4 linked regions of the Schizosaccharomyces pombe genome follow. Each later gene encodes a partner of the first gene's protein in a complex. Each region holds a gene or a part of one and is shown in the gene's direction. Other genes may lie near its edges.

The links.
Region 2: the proteins of cox1 (region 1) and cox8 are in contact, whole or in part, in a cryo-EM structure (PDB 8Q1B), measured with the Schizosaccharomyces pombe proteins. Residues at the interface, in YP_011104928.1 of Schizosaccharomyces pombe: Tyr7 (codon at 1,772), Arg10 (codon at 1,781), Trp11 (codon at 1,784), Asp19 (codon at 1,808), Ile22 (codon at 1,817), Val30 (codon at 1,841), Ile33 (codon at 1,850), Ile34 (codon at 1,853), Val37 (codon at 1,862), Phe38 (codon at 1,865), Leu54 (codon at 1,913), Ser55 (codon at 1,916), Asn57 (codon at 1,922), Leu60 (codon at 1,931), Val63 (codon at 1,940), Ala123 (codon at 2,120), Leu124 (codon at 2,123), Thr125 (codon at 2,126), Glu126 (codon at 2,129), Glu127 (codon at 2,132), Phe408 (codon at 5,266), Gly409 (codon at 5,269), Leu410 (codon at 5,272), Ile469 (codon at 5,449), Phe473 (codon at 5,461), Met476 (codon at 5,470), Met479 (codon at 5,479), Tyr480 (codon at 5,482), Phe483 (codon at 5,491), Thr484 (codon at 5,494); in NP_594028.1 of Schizosaccharomyces pombe: Lys25 (codon at 1,780), Pro26 (codon at 1,783), Ser28 (codon at 1,789), Thr29 (codon at 1,859), Ile30 (codon at 1,862), Phe32 (codon at 1,868), Asn35 (codon at 1,877), Lys36 (codon at 1,880), Lys37 (codon at 1,883), Thr41 (codon at 1,895), Tyr44 (codon at 1,904), Phe48 (codon at 1,916), Ile51 (codon at 2,111), Phe52 (codon at 2,114), Ile54 (codon at 2,120), Pro55 (codon at 2,123), Phe56 (codon at 2,126), Val58 (codon at 2,132), Val59 (codon at 2,135), Tyr61 (codon at 2,141), His62 (codon at 2,198), Asn63 (codon at 2,201), Leu66 (codon at 2,210).
Region 3: the proteins of cox1 (region 1) and cox4 are in contact, whole or in part, in a cryo-EM structure (PDB 8Q1B), measured with the Schizosaccharomyces pombe proteins. Residues at the interface, in YP_011104928.1 of Schizosaccharomyces pombe: Pro181 (codon at 3,504), Gly182 (codon at 3,507), Pro272 (codon at 4,858), Glu509 (codon at 5,569), Lys510 (codon at 5,572), Leu511 (codon at 5,575), Gly512 (codon at 5,578), Val513 (codon at 5,581), Ala514 (codon at 5,584), Gln515 (codon at 5,587), Ser516 (codon at 5,590), Ile517 (codon at 5,593), Leu520 (codon at 5,602), Leu521 (codon at 5,605), Phe530 (codon at 5,632), Asn531 (codon at 5,635), Thr532 (codon at 5,638), Leu533 (codon at 5,641), Pro534 (codon at 5,644), Thr535 (codon at 5,647), Lys536 (codon at 5,650), Ser537 (codon at 5,653), Ile538 (codon at 5,656); in NP_593042.1 of Schizosaccharomyces pombe: Asp91 (codon at 2,659), Met92 (codon at 2,662), Lys93 (codon at 2,665), Pro94 (codon at 2,668), Leu95 (codon at 2,671), Ala97 (codon at 2,677), Leu112 (codon at 2,722), Asp113 (codon at 2,725), Arg116 (codon at 2,734), His117 (codon at 2,737), Ile118 (codon at 2,740), Gly119 (codon at 2,743), Thr121 (codon at 2,749), Asn129 (codon at 2,773), Leu130 (codon at 2,776), Ile131 (codon at 2,779), Trp132 (codon at 2,782), Met133 (codon at 2,785), Thr134 (codon at 2,788), Tyr136 (codon at 2,794), Leu140 (codon at 2,806), Arg141 (codon at 2,809), Pro144 (codon at 2,818).
Region 4: the proteins of cox1 (region 1) and cox5 are in contact, whole or in part, in a cryo-EM structure (PDB 8Q1B), measured with the Schizosaccharomyces pombe proteins. Residues at the interface, in YP_011104928.1 of Schizosaccharomyces pombe: Met44 (codon at 1,883), Ser47 (codon at 1,892), Ala48 (codon at 1,895), Pro49 (codon at 1,898), Ser51 (codon at 1,904), Gln52 (codon at 1,907), Phe53 (codon at 1,910), Trp340 (codon at 5,062), Ser341 (codon at 5,065), Arg342 (codon at 5,068), Glu414 (codon at 5,284), Thr415 (codon at 5,287), Ser418 (codon at 5,296), Ile419 (codon at 5,299), Trp422 (codon at 5,308), Ile423 (codon at 5,311), Ile426 (codon at 5,320), Ala453 (codon at 5,401), Val455 (codon at 5,407), Gly456 (codon at 5,410), Phe459 (codon at 5,419), Ser462 (codon at 5,428), Ile463 (codon at 5,431), Val466 (codon at 5,440), Ile467 (codon at 5,443), Leu470 (codon at 5,452), Ile496 (codon at 5,530), Pro497 (codon at 5,533), Ser498 (codon at 5,536), Tyr499 (codon at 5,539); in NP_588158.2 of Schizosaccharomyces pombe: Tyr71 (codon at 2,235), Ile92 (codon at 2,298), Ala93 (codon at 2,301), Phe94 (codon at 2,304), Gly95 (codon at 2,307), His97 (codon at 2,313), Pro99 (codon at 2,319), Arg100 (codon at 2,322), Phe102 (codon at 2,328), Ser103 (codon at 2,331), Ile105 (codon at 2,337), Gln107 (codon at 2,343), Thr109 (codon at 2,349), Val110 (codon at 2,352), Gly113 (codon at 2,361), Thr114 (codon at 2,364), Gly117 (codon at 2,373), Leu118 (codon at 2,376), Ile120 (codon at 2,382), Gly121 (codon at 2,385), Leu124 (codon at 2,394), Phe125 (codon at 2,397), Ile128 (codon at 2,406), Arg129 (codon at 2,409), Gln131 (codon at 2,415), Ala132 (codon at 2,418), Ala133 (codon at 2,421), Pro136 (codon at 2,430), Thr138 (codon at 2,436), Met139 (codon at 2,439).

What each region holds. Positions count from the first base shown.
Region 1 is NC_088682.1:3,132-9,293, forward strand, and holds cox1 (cytochrome oxidase subunit 1), read left to right. Parts: upstream 1-1,753; coding exon 1,754-2,157; intron 2,158-2,158; coding exon of another isoform or gene 2,159-3,313; intron 3,314-3,367; coding exon 3,368-3,712; intron 3,713-3,713; coding exon of another isoform or gene 3,714-4,685; intron 4,686-4,793; coding exon 4,794-5,661; downstream 5,662-6,162. Other genes in the region: cox3 (cytochrome oxidase subunit 3), read left to right, coding at 5,830-6,162.
Region 2 is NC_003424.3:3,042,206-3,045,014, reverse strand, and holds cox8 (cytochrome c oxidase subunit VIII), read left to right. Parts: upstream 1-1,707; coding exon 1,708-1,790; exon of another isoform or gene 1,791-1,857; coding exon 1,858-1,919; exon of another isoform or gene 1,920-2,105; coding exon 2,106-2,143; exon of another isoform or gene 2,144-2,197; coding exon 2,198-2,215; 3' UTR 2,216-2,266; downstream 2,267-2,809. Other genes in the region: protein Med9, read right to left, coding at 299-664; mvd1 (diphosphomevalonate decarboxylase), read right to left, coding at 2,552-2,809. UniProt on the Schizosaccharomyces pombe protein: Component of the cytochrome c oxidase, the last enzyme in the mitochondrial electron transport chain which drives oxidative phosphorylation.
Region 3 is NC_003424.3:709,268-712,911, forward strand, and holds cox4 (cytochrome c oxidase subunit IV), read left to right. Parts: upstream 1-1,967; 5' UTR 1,968-2,033; coding exon 2,034-2,145; exon of another isoform or gene 2,146-2,451; intron 2,452-2,500; coding exon 2,501-2,883; 3' UTR 2,884-3,087; downstream 3,088-3,644. Other genes in the region: SPOM_SPAC1296.01C (phosphoacetylglucosamine mutase), read right to left, coding at 1-72, 161-377, 478-563, 629-756; serine carboxypeptidase Sxa2, read right to left, coding at 3,224-3,644. UniProt on the Schizosaccharomyces pombe protein: Component of the cytochrome c oxidase, the last enzyme in the mitochondrial electron transport chain which drives oxidative phosphorylation.
Region 4 is NC_003421.2:1,355,842-1,359,212, forward strand, and holds cox5 (cytochrome c oxidase subunit V), read left to right. Parts: upstream 1-1,952; 5' UTR 1,953-2,024; coding exon 2,025-2,585; 3' UTR 2,586-2,871; downstream 2,872-3,371. Other genes in the region: efm2 (methyltransferase Rrg1), read left to right, coding at 485-1,396; ctp1 (CtIP family endonuclease), read right to left, coding at 3,050-3,241, 3,286-3,371. UniProt on the Schizosaccharomyces pombe protein: Component of the cytochrome c oxidase, the last enzyme in the mitochondrial electron transport chain which drives oxidative phosphorylation.

The sequences.
Region 1 (6,162 bases):
ATAAAAATATATATAATGAGTTTGATGTTAGCTCGGTTATAACGCTATCTAGAGATTTTAACACATGCAAATCGAACGAATCAACAAAAACAATACATCCTTTAGGGGATGTTTGTGTTTTTTTGTGACGTGGTGAACAGGTGAGTAAAAGGGAAGAACGGACCTTAAATTTCGGCTAAATTCCGAATAAACACACTCTTTTGGAGTGTTGTGAAAGAAGTGAAAACTTTGATTTAAGACTGGCTTCTTACGATTAAAGTAGTTGGAGAGGTAAAAGCTTAACAAGCTCAAATCGTAATCATGACACTAAGTGGTGCTCTGATCACATTGGCTCTGAGACAACAGCCAAGATGAACATTTAGTTCATCCAGCAGTGGAGAATATTAGTCAATGATCGAAAGATTGAACTAGTCATCTAGAAGAGTGAAACTTTTAGTTATAGCTCCTTAAATTAAGAAAATTTGATTCTTAATTTTATGTAATTCTTGCCAATTTCCGTGCCAGCAGCAGCGGTTATACGGATAGAATAAGCGTTTAACATAATAAAAAGGCCTAAAAAGTATGTAGATGGAAAAAAACAAATCTTTTTCTAGAGTAATAAAGATGTTTGTAGTATTGTCAAATAAGGGATCAAATCCGACAATCTTGATGAGACTGCTTAAGTAAAAACTACTTACAATTAATTACTGACATTGAGATACGAAGGCTTAGATCGCGAAAGAGATTAGATACCTCTGTAGTCTAAGCTGTAAACGATTATTGCTCTCCCAATCTTTTTGATTGGGTTTAGTGAAGACGGTAAGCAATATGCCTGGGGAGTACTTTCGCAAGATTGAAACCCAAAACATTAGACGGTCTTGGAAATCCGCAGTGAATCATGTTATTTAATTAGATAATCCGCTAAAAATCTTACCTTTCCTTAAAACAATTAGTTTTAATTGTTGGGTATTGCATGGCTGTCTTTAGTTAATGTCGTAAGATGAGGTTAATTCCCATTAATTAACGAAAGCCTTCAAAGAATTTGTTTTTCTTTGTGTTAGTGATAAGCTAACTTTTTAGAGGGTTAAGACAAGTCAATATGATCCTTATGGAAAGGGCTATAGACGTGATATAAAATCTAATCCAATAATTTTTAATATCGAAAGATTGAAGTATTATTATAATGGTTAGGAGATTTATTCAGATTTAAATCTGTAATTTGATTTAATGAAGGAGGAATTGCGAGTAATCACTAATCATTACGTAGTGGTGAAATTTATCTCTGAGATGTACTAACTACTCGTCAAGCGCTGAAAGTATTAATCTCTTGAAGAAGACATTCATTTGTTTTCCAAAGGTGTTGTGCAATTAGTGTTAAGTCGAAATAAGGTAACCGTAGTGGAAGTTGCGGTTGAATAATTAATTCAGGTTAACCCCCCCCCAAAAAATAAAATACATCCATATCAAAAAGATGTTAATTGTTGGTATAGTTTAATTGGTTAAAATAATCTCCTCATGTGAGATTGATCTATAGGTTCGAGCCCTTTTACCAACTTTTCCTTAACCACATCTGTTTAAGTCAAAAAATCTTAAATGGTAGGAAACCTTTAAACAAAGTTTAAAAAAGTTATTAAATAATCTTAATGATCTTTTCATCTACCCTAAAATATTGAATCCTTTTAAAATAGTTTAATAAATTAGCTTTTGGATGAAAACTAAAAATTTTTTTTTAACTTAAACTTATTTAGAAATTAATAATTTAGTCTTGAGTTTAATGAACTCTTGGTGGACTTATGTTAATAGATGGATATTCTCAACTAATGCTAAGGATATTGCCATACTATATTTATTATTCGGATTGGTATCTGGGATAATTGGATCTGTATTCTCTTTTATAATTAGAATGGAACTATCAGCTCCAGGATCTCAATTCCTTTCTGGAAATGGTCAATTATACAATGTTGCAATCTCAGCACATGGTATACTTATGATTTTTTTCTTCATTATTCCTGCTTTATTTGGTGCATTTGGTAATTATTTAGTACCTCTTATGATAGGTGCTCCAGATGTTGCTTACCCTAGAGTAAATAATTTCACATTCTGGTTACTACCTCCTGCTCTAATGCTATTATTAATTTCTGCATTAACAGAAGAAGGACCTGGTGGTGGTTGGACGGTTTTAAAGCCGCAGACAAAATTGTCTGAAAACTCTTCTCGATGCGAAAAAGTCCTCTACTCGGAAGTAATTACTCAGTTAATTTATTTTTTAACTAGTAAAAAGATTACTAACTTGGGGAAAATTCGCCTGGTTAAATCCATCAGAGACTCGTTTCTATCACAATTAGAAAATATTTTATGTTTCTTTTTGGTTTATAGAACAACATACTCTTTCGGAGTGTGTTTAATGAAGAGGTTCTTATTTAATAAATTTTTTAATAGACATCCTTTTACAAGGGTAAAAAGCTGTTTTTCATCATCTTCACCATCAAAATTCTCTTTTACTCAATGGTTAGTAGGATTTACTGATGGTGATGGTTGTTTTAGTATTTCAAAACAAAAAATAAAAAATGGCAAAAATAAATGGTCTCTTACTTTTAAATTAACACAAAATCTTTATAATTATAGAATTTTATATTTTATTAAGAGAAATTTAGGTATTGGTTCACTTTATAAAGAATCTTCAACTAATACAGTAATATATAGATTAAGAAGAAGAGAGCATCTTAAAAAGATTATAGATATTTTTGATCAATTCCCTCTTTTAACTAAAAAATATTGGGATTATTATTTGTTTAAAAAAGCATTCTTAATTTTAGAGGACGCTAATCTAAATTCTTTTGAAAAAAATAGTAAACTAGAAGAGATCAGAATAGAGAAAAAGTCTTTAAAACAATATTCTCCAGTTAATTTAGAAAAATATTTAACAAAGTCTTGGTTAATTGGATTTATTGAAGCAGAAGGGAGCTTTTATTTACTACAAAAAAGCCCTGTAAGAATAATTCATGGGTTTGAGATTACTCAAAATTATGAACAACCCCTACTTGCTCAGATTTCAGAGTTCCTATTTAATTCTCAAATCTCACCAAAAATAAAATCAAAAAAAAATTCCTTAATTACAAATTATTCCTTATCAACTAGTTCAAAAGAAAGAATGTTATTTCTTTCATCTTATTTTGAAAATTGTTTTAAAGGAGTAAAATCATTAGAATTTAAAATTTGGTCTAGATCTTTACGTAAAAATTATAATTTTGAACAGCTTTTAAGAGCTAGAGATTTAATTAGAAAATTAAAAAATAAATATTCCCGAGGATCACAACATCCAAAGGATAAATAAAATAAGTTCAAGGTATAGTCCGATCAAGATTGAGAAATCTTGTTAACTAAAATGATATCCACCACTATCAAGTATCACTTCTCATAGTGGTCCAGCTATTGATCTAGCTATTTTAAGTTTACAATTAACTGGTATTTCATCAACATTAGGATCAGTAAATTTAATAGCGACAATGATTAATATGAGAGCTCCAGGATTAAGTTTATATCAAATGCCATTATTTGCATGGGCTATAATGATTACATCAATTCTATTACTGCTTACTTTACCAGTTTTAGCAGGTGGATTATTTATGTTATTCTCAGATAGAAATTTAAATACTTCATTCTATGCTCCTGAAGGTGGTGGTGACCCTGTACTTTACCAACATTTATTCTGGTTCTTTGGTCATCCAGAGGTCAATTTAATAGGCCTCTTAACGTTGCTATATGCTGGAACTACTTGAAAAATACTAGATAAGTGTTTTTGTTTTAAATACTCCAAGAAAAACACCAGATTAGTGTTTATTTTTATAGTAAAAATGTTAAAACAATTAAGTATATCAGCAGGTAACCTTTTGAATAAGGGAACCTCAGAGACTTTACGCAACGAAATCACAACAAAAAAAGTTTCTATTCATCTCCCTAAACACTTAAAACCAGCTAATGATTCTCAATTTGGTCACTATTTAGCAGGTTTAATTGATGGTGATGGTCATTTTAGTAGTAAACAACAATTAATTATTGCTTTTCACTCTTTAGATATACAATTAGCTTATTATATTAAAAAACAAATAGGTTATGGTATTGTACGTAAAATTAAAGATAAAAATGCTATTCTTTTTATAATAGCTAACTCTAAAGGAATTGAAAGAGTAATAACTTTAATTAATAATAAATTTAGAACTACTAGTAAATATAATCAGATTATTAATAATATATTTGCTCATCCTAGATTTAAAGAATTTAGTAAAACTATTACTTTAGGTTTAAATTCAAATAATAATTTAAATAATCATTGGCTAGCTGGATTCTCAGATGCTGATGCTAGTTTTCAGATTAAAATTTTAAATAGGGACAAAAAAATAGAAGTTCGATTGAACTATCAAATAGATCAAAAAAAAGAGTATCTTTTGAGTTTAATTAAAGATAATTTAGGTGGTAATATAGGCTATCGAAAAAGTCAAGATACTTATTATTATGGTTCTACTAGTTTTGGTTCAGCTAAAAAAGTTATTAATTATTTTGATAATTATCATTTGCTATCTTCTAAATATATTAGCTATTTAAAATGAAGAAAAGCTTATCTTATTATTCAAGAAAATAAACATTTAACAGAATCAGGACTTTCTCAAATAAAAAAACCTCATCCCTATCGGAAGAATATTAATTAGATTTGTTGAGATTTAAAATAAAGTCCTAACAAGGGTATAAAGCTTTTGAGTGTTAAAAAGAATAAATCACCTTTTGGGTGATTTTTTTTCATTAACCAAAATTTATTGTTATATTTTAATTATGCCAGCTTTCGGTGTTGTTAGTCACATTATTCCTAGTTTAGCTCATAAACCTATTTTCGGTAAAGAAGGTATGCTTTGGGCTATGTTAAGTATTGCTTTATTAGGATTAATGGTATGGTCTCATCACTTATTCACAGTTGGTTTAGATGTTGATACTAGAGCTTATTTCAGTGCTGCAACTATGGTTATTGCAATTCCAACAGGTATTAAAATCTTCAGTTGGTTAGCTACTTTAACAGGTGGTGCAATACAATGGTCAAGAGTACCTATGTTATATGCTATTGGTTTCTTAATCTTATTCACAATTGGTGGATTAACAGGTGTTATATTAAGTAATTCAGTATTAGATATCGCTTTCCATGATACTTATTTCGTTGTAGCTCACTTCCATTACGTTCTGTCAATGGGTGCATTATTTGGTCTTTGTGGTGCATACTACTATTGGAGTCCAAAAATGTTTGGATTAATGTACAATGAAACTCTAGCTTCAATCCAATTCTGGATTTTATTCATAGGTGTTAATATTGTATTCGGTCCTCAACATTTCTTAGGATTAAATGGTATGCCTAGAAGAATACCAGATTATCCAGATGCATTTGTGGGATGGAATTTTGTATCAAGTATTGGTTCAGTAATTTCTATTCTTTCATTATTCCTATTTATGTATGTTATGTATGATCAATTTACATCAAATAGAGTGGTTAAAACAAATCCTTATTTAATCCCTAGCTATTTTGATGATAATGTAATCTTCGTAAATGAAAAATTAGGGGTAGCTCAATCAATAGAATGGTTACTACATTCACCAGTACACGAACACGCATTTAATACATTACCTACAAAAAGTATTTAATTTAAAATCTTAACCCCCCTTTTATTTTATAAACTTTATTCCAATTTAAAAATTGGAGAGGGAGATTGAAGGATAATTTAGCTATCCTATTCAAAATTGTATCTTTATAATTTTTTTATTCCTTATATGTGAGAGAACACTATTGAGATAAACTAATTTAGCTTAAACATGAATCTTTCTACTAAATTTCAAGGACATCCTTATCATATTGTAAGTGCGTCACCTTGGCCATTTTTCTTATCTGTAGTATTATTCTTTAACTGTTTAGCAGCTACATTATATTTACATGGATACAAACATTCATCAGTATTCTTTGGAATCAGTTTCTTAGGTTTATTAGCAACTATGTATTTATGGTTTAGAGATATGTCAACTGAAGCTAATATTCATGGTGCACATACAAAAGCAGTAACAAAAGGATTAAAAATAGGATTTATGTTATTCCTAATTTCTGAAACTTTCTTATTTGCTTCTATTTTCTGGGCTTTCTTCCATAGTTCA
Region 2 (2,809 bases), on another chromosome or scaffold:
ATGGTAAATTATATTGTAAGGTTTAAAGAGGACTCTTTATCAAACCTACTGTTTGTAGAAGTGTTAATTGAGAACGCACTACCAAAAGGCGACAAGGATTATTTTTATGCAACTTACAAATTAGTCAATTAAAGGCTGAGTATCAAATTTTAAGAGCGTCGAGATATTTTAAGATATTCAATAGATTGATAGTGAATCACAAACGCTGAGTTCGAATAGCTTTCACTTCATCAACGTAGACGCGATATTTTGGAGTTGAAGAAGTACCTTATAGAGATTAAATTGATGCTCTCGAACATCAGGTTGCGTTCTCCATAAAAGTATCAACAGGACTTTCCCTTACGTCCTCTTTTTTAACTACGGTATCATTGCTTTCAGATAATGCCATCTTTAGAAAAGCCTTTTTCAAAGCAATGCGGGCTTTGAGAATTTCGATGATAGATTTTTTTTCTTTCACTGTCATTTCCTCAGGTTCCATTTTTGAAACCTTTTCTTTTAACTGTCGAATGCCCTGGCGAAGTAATGTCAATTCCTTAGAAGCCGTTACGGTTTCCCGAGCCTCTTGAGATGCCAAAAATTCCAACAGTCGACTTTGTAGTATAGAAAAGTCTTGTTGCGAAAGTAATTCTGCACTAGTGTCCTTAATATGATGTGCTGGATCCATCGTGATAAAACTGTAGTACCTCAAGGTATCCTTTTCAAATATGTAGCCAGCTCTTAGCAGCTAAATGTTCAAAAATAAGGGAAACTTCAAGATCACTTTAGTAATTCACGGTTGGCATTAGCGAAAAATCAGCATACAAAGCCAACCAATGTCCCGATTTCCGTGTTTTAATTAGAACATAAAGCTCCCAAGCTTGAAAATTTTGAATATTCAAAAGGTACTAAGCCAATTTGATTTGATTTTTTTATTTTGTACTTCTCAGTGCTACCAACATAAATTCATGTTCTAAGTAGCTTCTAAAAATGCTGCAACGCACAAGACTACGTTGAGCTTTATAAGGTGACGGACAAGTTGATGCTCTCAACACATTTATAATGATTAAAATCACGTGGCAGAAAAAATTACCACTTTTCTAAAAGAACTAGATATTTTAACCAAAGAACGTACCTACTTCTGTAAGGTCGCACATTACTCTTTATTGTTTACCAAATTAAGCTAAGTACTGTTGTACGAATTAAGACATCGTTAACGCCGACTTCTTAAATTTCGCTATTTTTCCGTATTGTCAGCAATACCACACTACGCTATGATACACTACGTTGCGTATCACTATATGTCATATGTTGGAATACTAGCTAAGATCCGTTTATTGATAATCACGGGTAACTATCCGTCTATATACATAGATACCCATTGATAACAACTATTTAGAAATATTATAAATAGCGTTACAACTGAACCTCGTTCCTCAGTTCAGTTATGAGCTATATTAGTGATAGGTAACATTATAACCCAGTTAATACAATACCTATACTCAGTTGCTACTTATACAACCTGTGTATTGTAATATAATAGACCACAAGGAAAACTCACCGCAGTTCTACGTATCCTTAAATCAAATACCAAACTGCGTAGCTTACACGTATATAGAGTAAGGTATGCACACTAGTTTATTATGTAATTCCTTAAACGAAAGTATCCCGATGCAATGGGAAATGATTGATTTGCTAGCAGCAAACTTACCAACTCCCAACTCAATTCCCATGCTTCGTTACAGTCTTCAAGCTCGTTCAGCCCTTCGTGGTGTTCGTTTTTCTTCTTCTCATTCGGCCCCTAAACCTGGATCGTAAGTGGGAATCATCCTGTTTGTTTTCAACGGCAATTGCTAACAATATGCTATTTTTGCTCAATAGAACGATCCCTTTTTACATTAACAAGAAACCACTTCCTACTTTACTTTACTTTGGAACATTTGGTATGTTGGTGAACTAGATTTGAGTCCTATGCATCTGTAATTTGGTAAAAGCAGCTTTACCAGGAATGGCATCTCACTTGCAAAAAAAATTACTTCTACAGTAAAAAAAATGCATAGAAAGCCAACTTATTAGAGGAACATTTCCTTTCCTTTTCTTTATGAAGATTTATCTAACCTAGAATTCAGGTGTGATCTTTTCCATCCCATTCATTGTGGTGAAATACGTGCGTTAGCATACTAATGTGTCTGTACTTTACTAACCTATTGTTTCTGTTTAGCATAACCGTAATTTGTAAGAAACTTCAATCATTGCAAGTTGCGTTAAATAATCAAATTTCCATTTCCTTACATTTTCTTGACCGTCAAATCGTCTTCTATGTAAAAGTAATAAAGCTTAAAACTTCAAAGTGCTCAGCATCTTCGAAATAAATTTTCTTTTTAGAAGTAAGAATTCTTTAATCTATAAACAGATAACAAAAAAATCGATGTGAGGTTGCTGTATTTTGTTGAAATATATAGTACTATCTCGAAACAAAAACCCATATCCCGTGAAACAGTGTGCCGTTGATAAATTATGTAGTAACTGTTTGCAGTGCACAAAAACTTGATACTACGCACAACACTCGAAATCATTAATGACTTCCTATAAATTTAGGGTTGCCAGATGCATCGATCAAAGATTCGTCAATCGTCAAAACTCGAGGCCCATTACCCACTCGAGTTAAGATAACTCGGCTTATACCAGATGATACAATATTGGCTGCAGCAGAATCAACAGTAACGGGGGAAGAGCCATACTGCTTGCTCCATCCTTCAGCATTTTTAGTAACAGCATAAAGTGTATTTAATACAATCTCGGAGTTTTCTTCCAAGAAGTAAATAACAGCATT
Region 3 (3,644 bases), on another chromosome or scaffold:
AAATTTTCGTACTTTGCTTTGCAGACCACAATACCGTCAATTACAGCTTGCGCAAGGATTTCTGAAGTAGACCTAAGTATTAGATGTTAGTCTTGGACATAAGATTTAAAAAAGCGGAGAAATTAAGTGATCTAATATCGACAATAAAAGTAAAACAAACCTTGAGTCATAGCCAACAAACACCCGAGCTTCAGAACCGGGAATAATCTTTGCCTTTTTCAAAATTGAAGTTAAACAAACCGTTAATTCGTCAGCGGAATCCGCATTTACTACTTGATCCAGGTATGCTTCCCATTTGCTAGAATCCAGGCTACTCAAAATGTTTACGATCTTTAACCCGTTTTCGGAAGAGGCGTTGTGCGAGGCAGTCACCATAACTAAGATTGTTAGTAAGTAAACTCAAAGAAATACAAAGGAACAAGATGGATATCAATATGTAAATGAATCATCTCGCAATAATAAAAGTATGTGTCTTACGTCCAACAGGTTGTCCATGCAATTTGGCTGACAAAAAGCTGGCGATTACGCCTGTGCGAAAAGCAACACTCGAAAGCAGCTCAGCGCTATAAATAAAATGTTAATAATTTCCATTTAAACTAAAAGTAAGTTTCTTTTTTTATCAACGTACTCAGCGCGATATCCTCCAGTACCATACTGCATGGGATAAGAATGCACTTTGGCAAACTTATCGGATTCTCGAACAATTGCCGTTACAAATTCATTTACAATCGAATCGCTGTCTTCAGCATCAGACATAGTGGGGAAAATATCGATACAGAAGTCTGACGATCCTTTGTAAAAAAAACTTGTTAAAGTATCGAAACTATGAATGGAAGAAGAACGAAGTCACTTAAGCCTAAGCTTCGAGAAAACAGGTTGACCTCAAAGCTCTCTTAATAAAAAAGTACACTTAAGAAGTTAAGAGATATGACTTTGTGTTCTCAAGATATATTCGAGTCCCGAATAAGCACTGGATTGCTACTAAGTTGATGCCAAACGCGTCAACTATCACCAAACTATGGCAATTTAAATATCGCGGAATAATGAACTGCGTAATACATATTCGTTATTAGAAGGAAATTTGGGAATAGTTTAACGTCTACGAAGTTAATAAAAGCTTCACATATTTCCTCTTTCTTTATTACATAAATATTTATCAATTTGGTTTTCATCGCTTGGGTTATGTTCGAAGTTGCTAAATAAACAACTTAGTTGGTTGACTCAATAGTTAACTCTGTAAATTAGCTACAAAATAGCAGAAAGACACCTCAACGTTTTTTACAATTATTATGAAAAGCTATGAAATTTAATGTGAATAAACTAGATGAAAAGAAACGACTAAATGAACCAACGAAAAGGTATTAAAAAATAGTATTTCGTATTAGATTTAATTGATTAACACAATGTGGTCAGTAATATACAGAGAATGTATGCATGTTTGCTTTAAACAATAGAACAAACGGATTGTAATAATTGAGAGGACAAGATCGAAAATGAACGACCTGAAAATCGTTCATCACTAGGGAATTTATTTCTTTCGGTCATATTGCTTTTAAAATAATTAATATTCCCGAGGCAAACATGATACATTAAACCTCTAGTTCATAAAGAGTTGTATAAGAAATGAGTAAACAAAACAATTTAAGTCAATTTCTTCCAGGGTATAGCTCATGAACCTTAAAAAACACAAACAATCAGTAGAAATATAGCAATGATCCCTTTAATTATAACACTCAGATATGTTTAGCAAGTTATGAGCACCGATAGTCAATCAAGAAAAGGACATCTCATACTACTCGTTTTTTATACAATATAATTAAGGCAATAGTAATATTGGAACTTCCCCATTATCATCTTATTCGTAACTGTTTAAGAAATAATTCCGTTTTTTGTTAACCTTCTCATCTTTTTTTCTGTTGTAGCTTGCTGTCCTACCAAATTTCGTTACACAATACCGGACCAACGTTGGAAACTACACAACACCCCATCTCACCCATTATCAGGTTATAAATCATCAATAATTGTCTTTTAAGATGTTTATGAATTCTATGCTTCGTGTCTCCAGACAAAGAGCAGCGGTCAGGAGTACTGTTTCTCTGTACCGTGGCTTTGTTTCTGCTTCAATCCGCCGTAATGAGCAAAACGGTAAGTCCTTTGAAAGCTTAGTAAAGTTTGTCATAGCAGCTTAATGGTTAAAGCTTGTTTAGTACTGGCTATAGGAGTAAAGCTTCCGTTGACTCTTGATCTCCGATGTACAGTTTTGCTATTAATTATATATCGGAAGTTAGGCTTGTGTGCCCATTCATTCTTTTCTATATTTTACAGACCTAAAAAGTAATCAAAAGAATGAAAATCGACGTTGCCTATAGCCCACTCTCTTAAAACGCTTTCTATTTCATCTATTAAGTCGCTTAGTAGATATGACTTGTTAATTTGTGCTGCCGATACATTTTAGGGCTTTTTAGCTTAATTTTTATCTCCTTCACTAACATTCTTTTAGTTGTAAAAGCCGCCGCTCAAGAATTAGCCAACGCTAAGGAACCTTCTGATTTGATCGGACCTGGTGGTCGTGACGGCGAGGTTCCAACTGATTTGGAGCAAGCCACTGGTTTGGAACGATATGAACTTTTATCAGAGCTTTCAGGGAGAGATGCATTTGATATGAAACCGTTGGATGCTTCTCGTAAAGGCACATTGACGGATCCTATAATGGTCACTTCTCTTGATCCTTACCGTCATATTGGCTGTACTGGTAGTCCTTCTGGTTCACATAATTTAATTTGGATGACTGTCTACAAAGACAAACTCCGCCGTTGTCCTGAATGCGGATCTGTATACAAATTAAAATTCATGGGAGATCCCAACGCTGAACACAGTCATTAGTATGCTTACCAATCTTCCATATCCCCTTGCTATTTTCATACTCTTTTATAACAATTTAGCTCTTTTATTTGAACTTTGAAAAATCAATGAAAACTGTATGCTGATCTATTTCTTATTTTGGGAACGATTCGATTATTCGTAAACGTATATCTTATAAATAATTCTATCTATTCAACCATATCTTAGTTGTTAATTCAAGCACCATTCTTTTTTTCTTGTAGTCATGCGGAAATATGATCTAATTATCGTTCCGAGTTTCATAAACGATAGTTATTTATTGATATACCACATCAGTGGTAAGTCAATAAACTTGTATTTTAAATTTTCCGATATTAAACTTTTAATAAAGCAACGTATTTTCAAGCCATTCTCTAACCATTTGAGGGTCTTTAGATGGAGCCATGTGCCCAACCGAGTTGGACAATGTAAAGGCTAAGTTACGTTCATCCAAAGTAAATCCATTAGTTGTCTCTAAACTTCCAGGAGATTGAGTGAATCCCTGCCATCCATTCCATGTTGTATTTTGCAATGCCAAAAGAGTTCCGGTCCAAAGAATTTGAAGATCCAATGCCCCAGCTAAGAAAGACACTTTGTATTTTTCTGTTAAGCGTGGAATTATTTCAACGAGAACTGATTCTACGTTGTTACTCACAATCTTTTTGTATAAGTCAAAATTGCATCCGTCTGCGAAGACACCCTCGCCGCTTGTCAACGCAGTTGAAGCTTTCGTAGCATGTAAAGAAGAGCGAACATCTTCTCTG
Region 4 (3,371 bases), on another chromosome or scaffold:
CTATTGCATTTGCATATAGGGACACAATATTCCTCATTATTCCTTTTTTTCACGCAGTGTAGACAACGCGGTCTGGAAAAGACATACATCCATTGGAATTGAGTTGTATTTTTGGGATAGGCGGTTGAGTGAGAATGAAATTGAGAAATTAGATGCTTTAATAACCAGTGCTTTTAAATTGCTTCTTGCTTTTTGATCAACACCGTGATTTCACTCCTGCGAGGTACATGTTACCTAGCTTTGATCTAATTTGAAAAGTTGGACTCATGGATGGTAAAGAGAGAAATTTCGTTTTATCCATACTTAATCATAGTATGTCTCTCACGCATACTCTCACATAGGTAGTTAATTGGGATTCTCATTTGTTTAAAATTTAGCTGGTTTGCAAAGGAAAACAGGTTGACTCCTGTCTTTTTTGGGTCTTTGGGATTTCTTTTGTTTTTGCTTTTTCGTCTCTGGTTTTGGGTATTTTAAAAAAATCACAATGATTTTAGAAGACACGGATCTACCTTTAAGTCACGAACAGCCTTCTTACTCTCAAATTAAAGATGTTTTGGACAAAATTCCTACTGGGGAGCACTTGTGGGACCTTCCTAAGTATGAGGAGAAAATAATCCTCAATTGGCTTATCAAGCTCTTAGCTACAAATTTGGAATGGATCACAGTTGAAGAGGAACGAGACTATTTGGTTAGCACGATTTGTGAACGAATTGCAGAGCGTAGTGGTAGACTTGCAGCTCCTACTAGGAAGAGGGAATTTTCCCTTTCAAATGGTGTTTCTGTAGTTCTTCGAGAGCCCACTATGACCTATAATACTTTAGGATTTAAAACATGGGGGTCTGCTCCCTTGCTTTCAGCAAATCTTCCCAAATGGGAAGATTTGAGTAATTCCATTAACGCGCTAGAATTAGGGGCTGGGACTGGGCTTGTTGGCATTAGTGCAGCCATTCAATTAGGATGGCAAGTTGTATGTACAGATCTACCAGATATAGTAGAAAATATGCAGTATAACGTTGATTACAATTCTGAACTTATCCAGCAATATGCGGGTTCAGTAAGCTGTCATGTATTAGATTGGATGAATCCCCCAGATGATGATAACCGACCATCATGGCTTATTAAACCATTTCAACGGATTATAGCAAGTGATTGTATCTATGAAACTCATTTCGGCGAGTTAGCCATTGCACTGTTTCGTAAATATTTAGCTAAGGACGGGATTGTTATCACAGAGTATCCACTTCGCGAAACACATTTGGAAGAAATAGGTGTGTTTGAAAAGGGAATGGACGCCGCCGGATTTGAAAGACAAATGGGAGAAGAAATTGGTGAAGAAGACTTTGGCTCTCTATACCCAGTAACTTGTCGTTGGAGTAGATGGAAATACCATGGATAACTTAAAATGTATCAATCTATAGGTCAAACCATGTTGCAAACTAGAAAAAGCGAGCCAAAATAATTGGGTTTTATTTTTTCCTTGTTTGAATAATTTTAGATTTTAATAGCAAAGCAATAGATTCTTTTGTATTATTTACAGTATCAAAGGGAATCACTTTTGGTTTTAAAGCTGGCTTTTTGAGCCCGCTTTTTTCTGTTTAGAGGAACGAAATTGCGTAGGTTGGTTTAGATCAACAGGACATCGATACTGAATTACGGTTTAGTAGAAAATCTATTTGAGAAAGTTACCGATTGTTTTCTTGTAAATACTTTTTTATCCTTCCGCGTTCATTCAAAGCAACACATTAGTATCGTTTCGTCTCTATGAGCTTTCATAGTTATTTTCTACAAATTCAAACGGAGGACTAGAAATTAGAAAGTAGAATTAACCATAAACATTTCACTTACCCTTCGTACTTTCGATCTTTAATCAGCATGCGAAGCTAAACCCTACCCTAATTTCTCCGACAGTGTGCCAATGGGACTCCCGAGGATTGGCGTTGGCCTTCTTCCTTACACACCCAAATTCCCCCTCTCTCTATAATTCGATCTTTTTAGCATTAAATTATTGAATTAAGCTAATAATTATGTATCTTTCAAAAATTATCTGCAAAAAAGTGCCAATGAAGCTTCTCTGCACTCGCAATGCTGCTACTGTGAGTGCTGCTGCTACCAACGCTTTGCAGAAAGAGCAGCCTTCCGGAGAGGCCATGATCGCTCGTCCTCGTTTGGTTGATTTGGACAAGCGTTGGGGTATTATGTCTCAGGAGGAGAAAGACGGTCTTATCACAGATTTGTATGCTCGTCAGAAACAACCCTGGACGACACTCTCCATTGAGGAAAAGAAAGCCGCATATTGGATTGCTTTTGGTGAACACGGTCCTCGTGCTTTCAGCCACATTAGTCAAAAGACAGTTTTTTGGGGAACTGTCGCTGGTTTAACGATCGGTGTCGTATTGTTTGGTCTCATCCGCACTCAAGCTGCTCCTTCTCCTCGTACCATGACTCGTGAATGGCAAGAGAAGTCCAATGAGTACATGAAGGAGAACAAGATCAACCCTATTAGTGGTGAAGCTAGCGAAGGGTTTAAGGGACGTGGTCAAATTTCCGGTGGTATTTTCTCCCCCTCCGAAAAGGACAAGAAATAAGAAATTCCCACATTTTGAGTTCAATAAAGTTTCAGCATGATCTGGGTTTCTTTTTGCTTAGTCAAATGAAAATTTATTTAGTTGTTTTATTTCTTGAGCCTAACTCGACTTTCATGGTAAGATGCTACTTCGTCGGACCCACCATTATCAGGTACTGGAAGGTTTGACTTTGCTACATTCGCTTCTTTTATTTCTAAAAACGAGTTTTAATTTATCCCCCTTTCTAATGAAAATTTCAGCTTATCGTGAATAAGTCCGGAATATAGTAAATCGTAAATTCATTGCTTTGCTGAATGTAGTTGATTAACAATTGGGGTAGTGAACGCTAATCGAAGTTCGAATGCTTATTGTAACGTTGTAAGCTTCATGCTAATGATCTCTGAATACATCTATGTACACGGTTGGCGTATCAATTTATTTAGACAAGTTGTCATTGGATGAAGTTTCACAATCATTATTTAGTTTTAATCTACAAAATCACTTTCCCAAAAACCATTTGGAATAGGTTTGGGGATGTTTAATTTTCGATGCCGGCCTACTTTTTGCACCAAAGGTTGATGCTTACAATTGGGTAAAGAGCCACCACCCAAGCGGTTTTCGTCATTCCAAGTAGGCGCAACGCTGCTTTCTTTGACTGGACCATGTAACTCATAGAACTAAAACACCAATTAGTAGGGAAAAAAGCCAAAAATACTCTTACCTTTTGGCAATCCGGACATTCGTAAGCAGGAAGTGCTTTACGTTTATTACCTCGAATAACATCATCGTTTAAAAATTCAGGCTCAA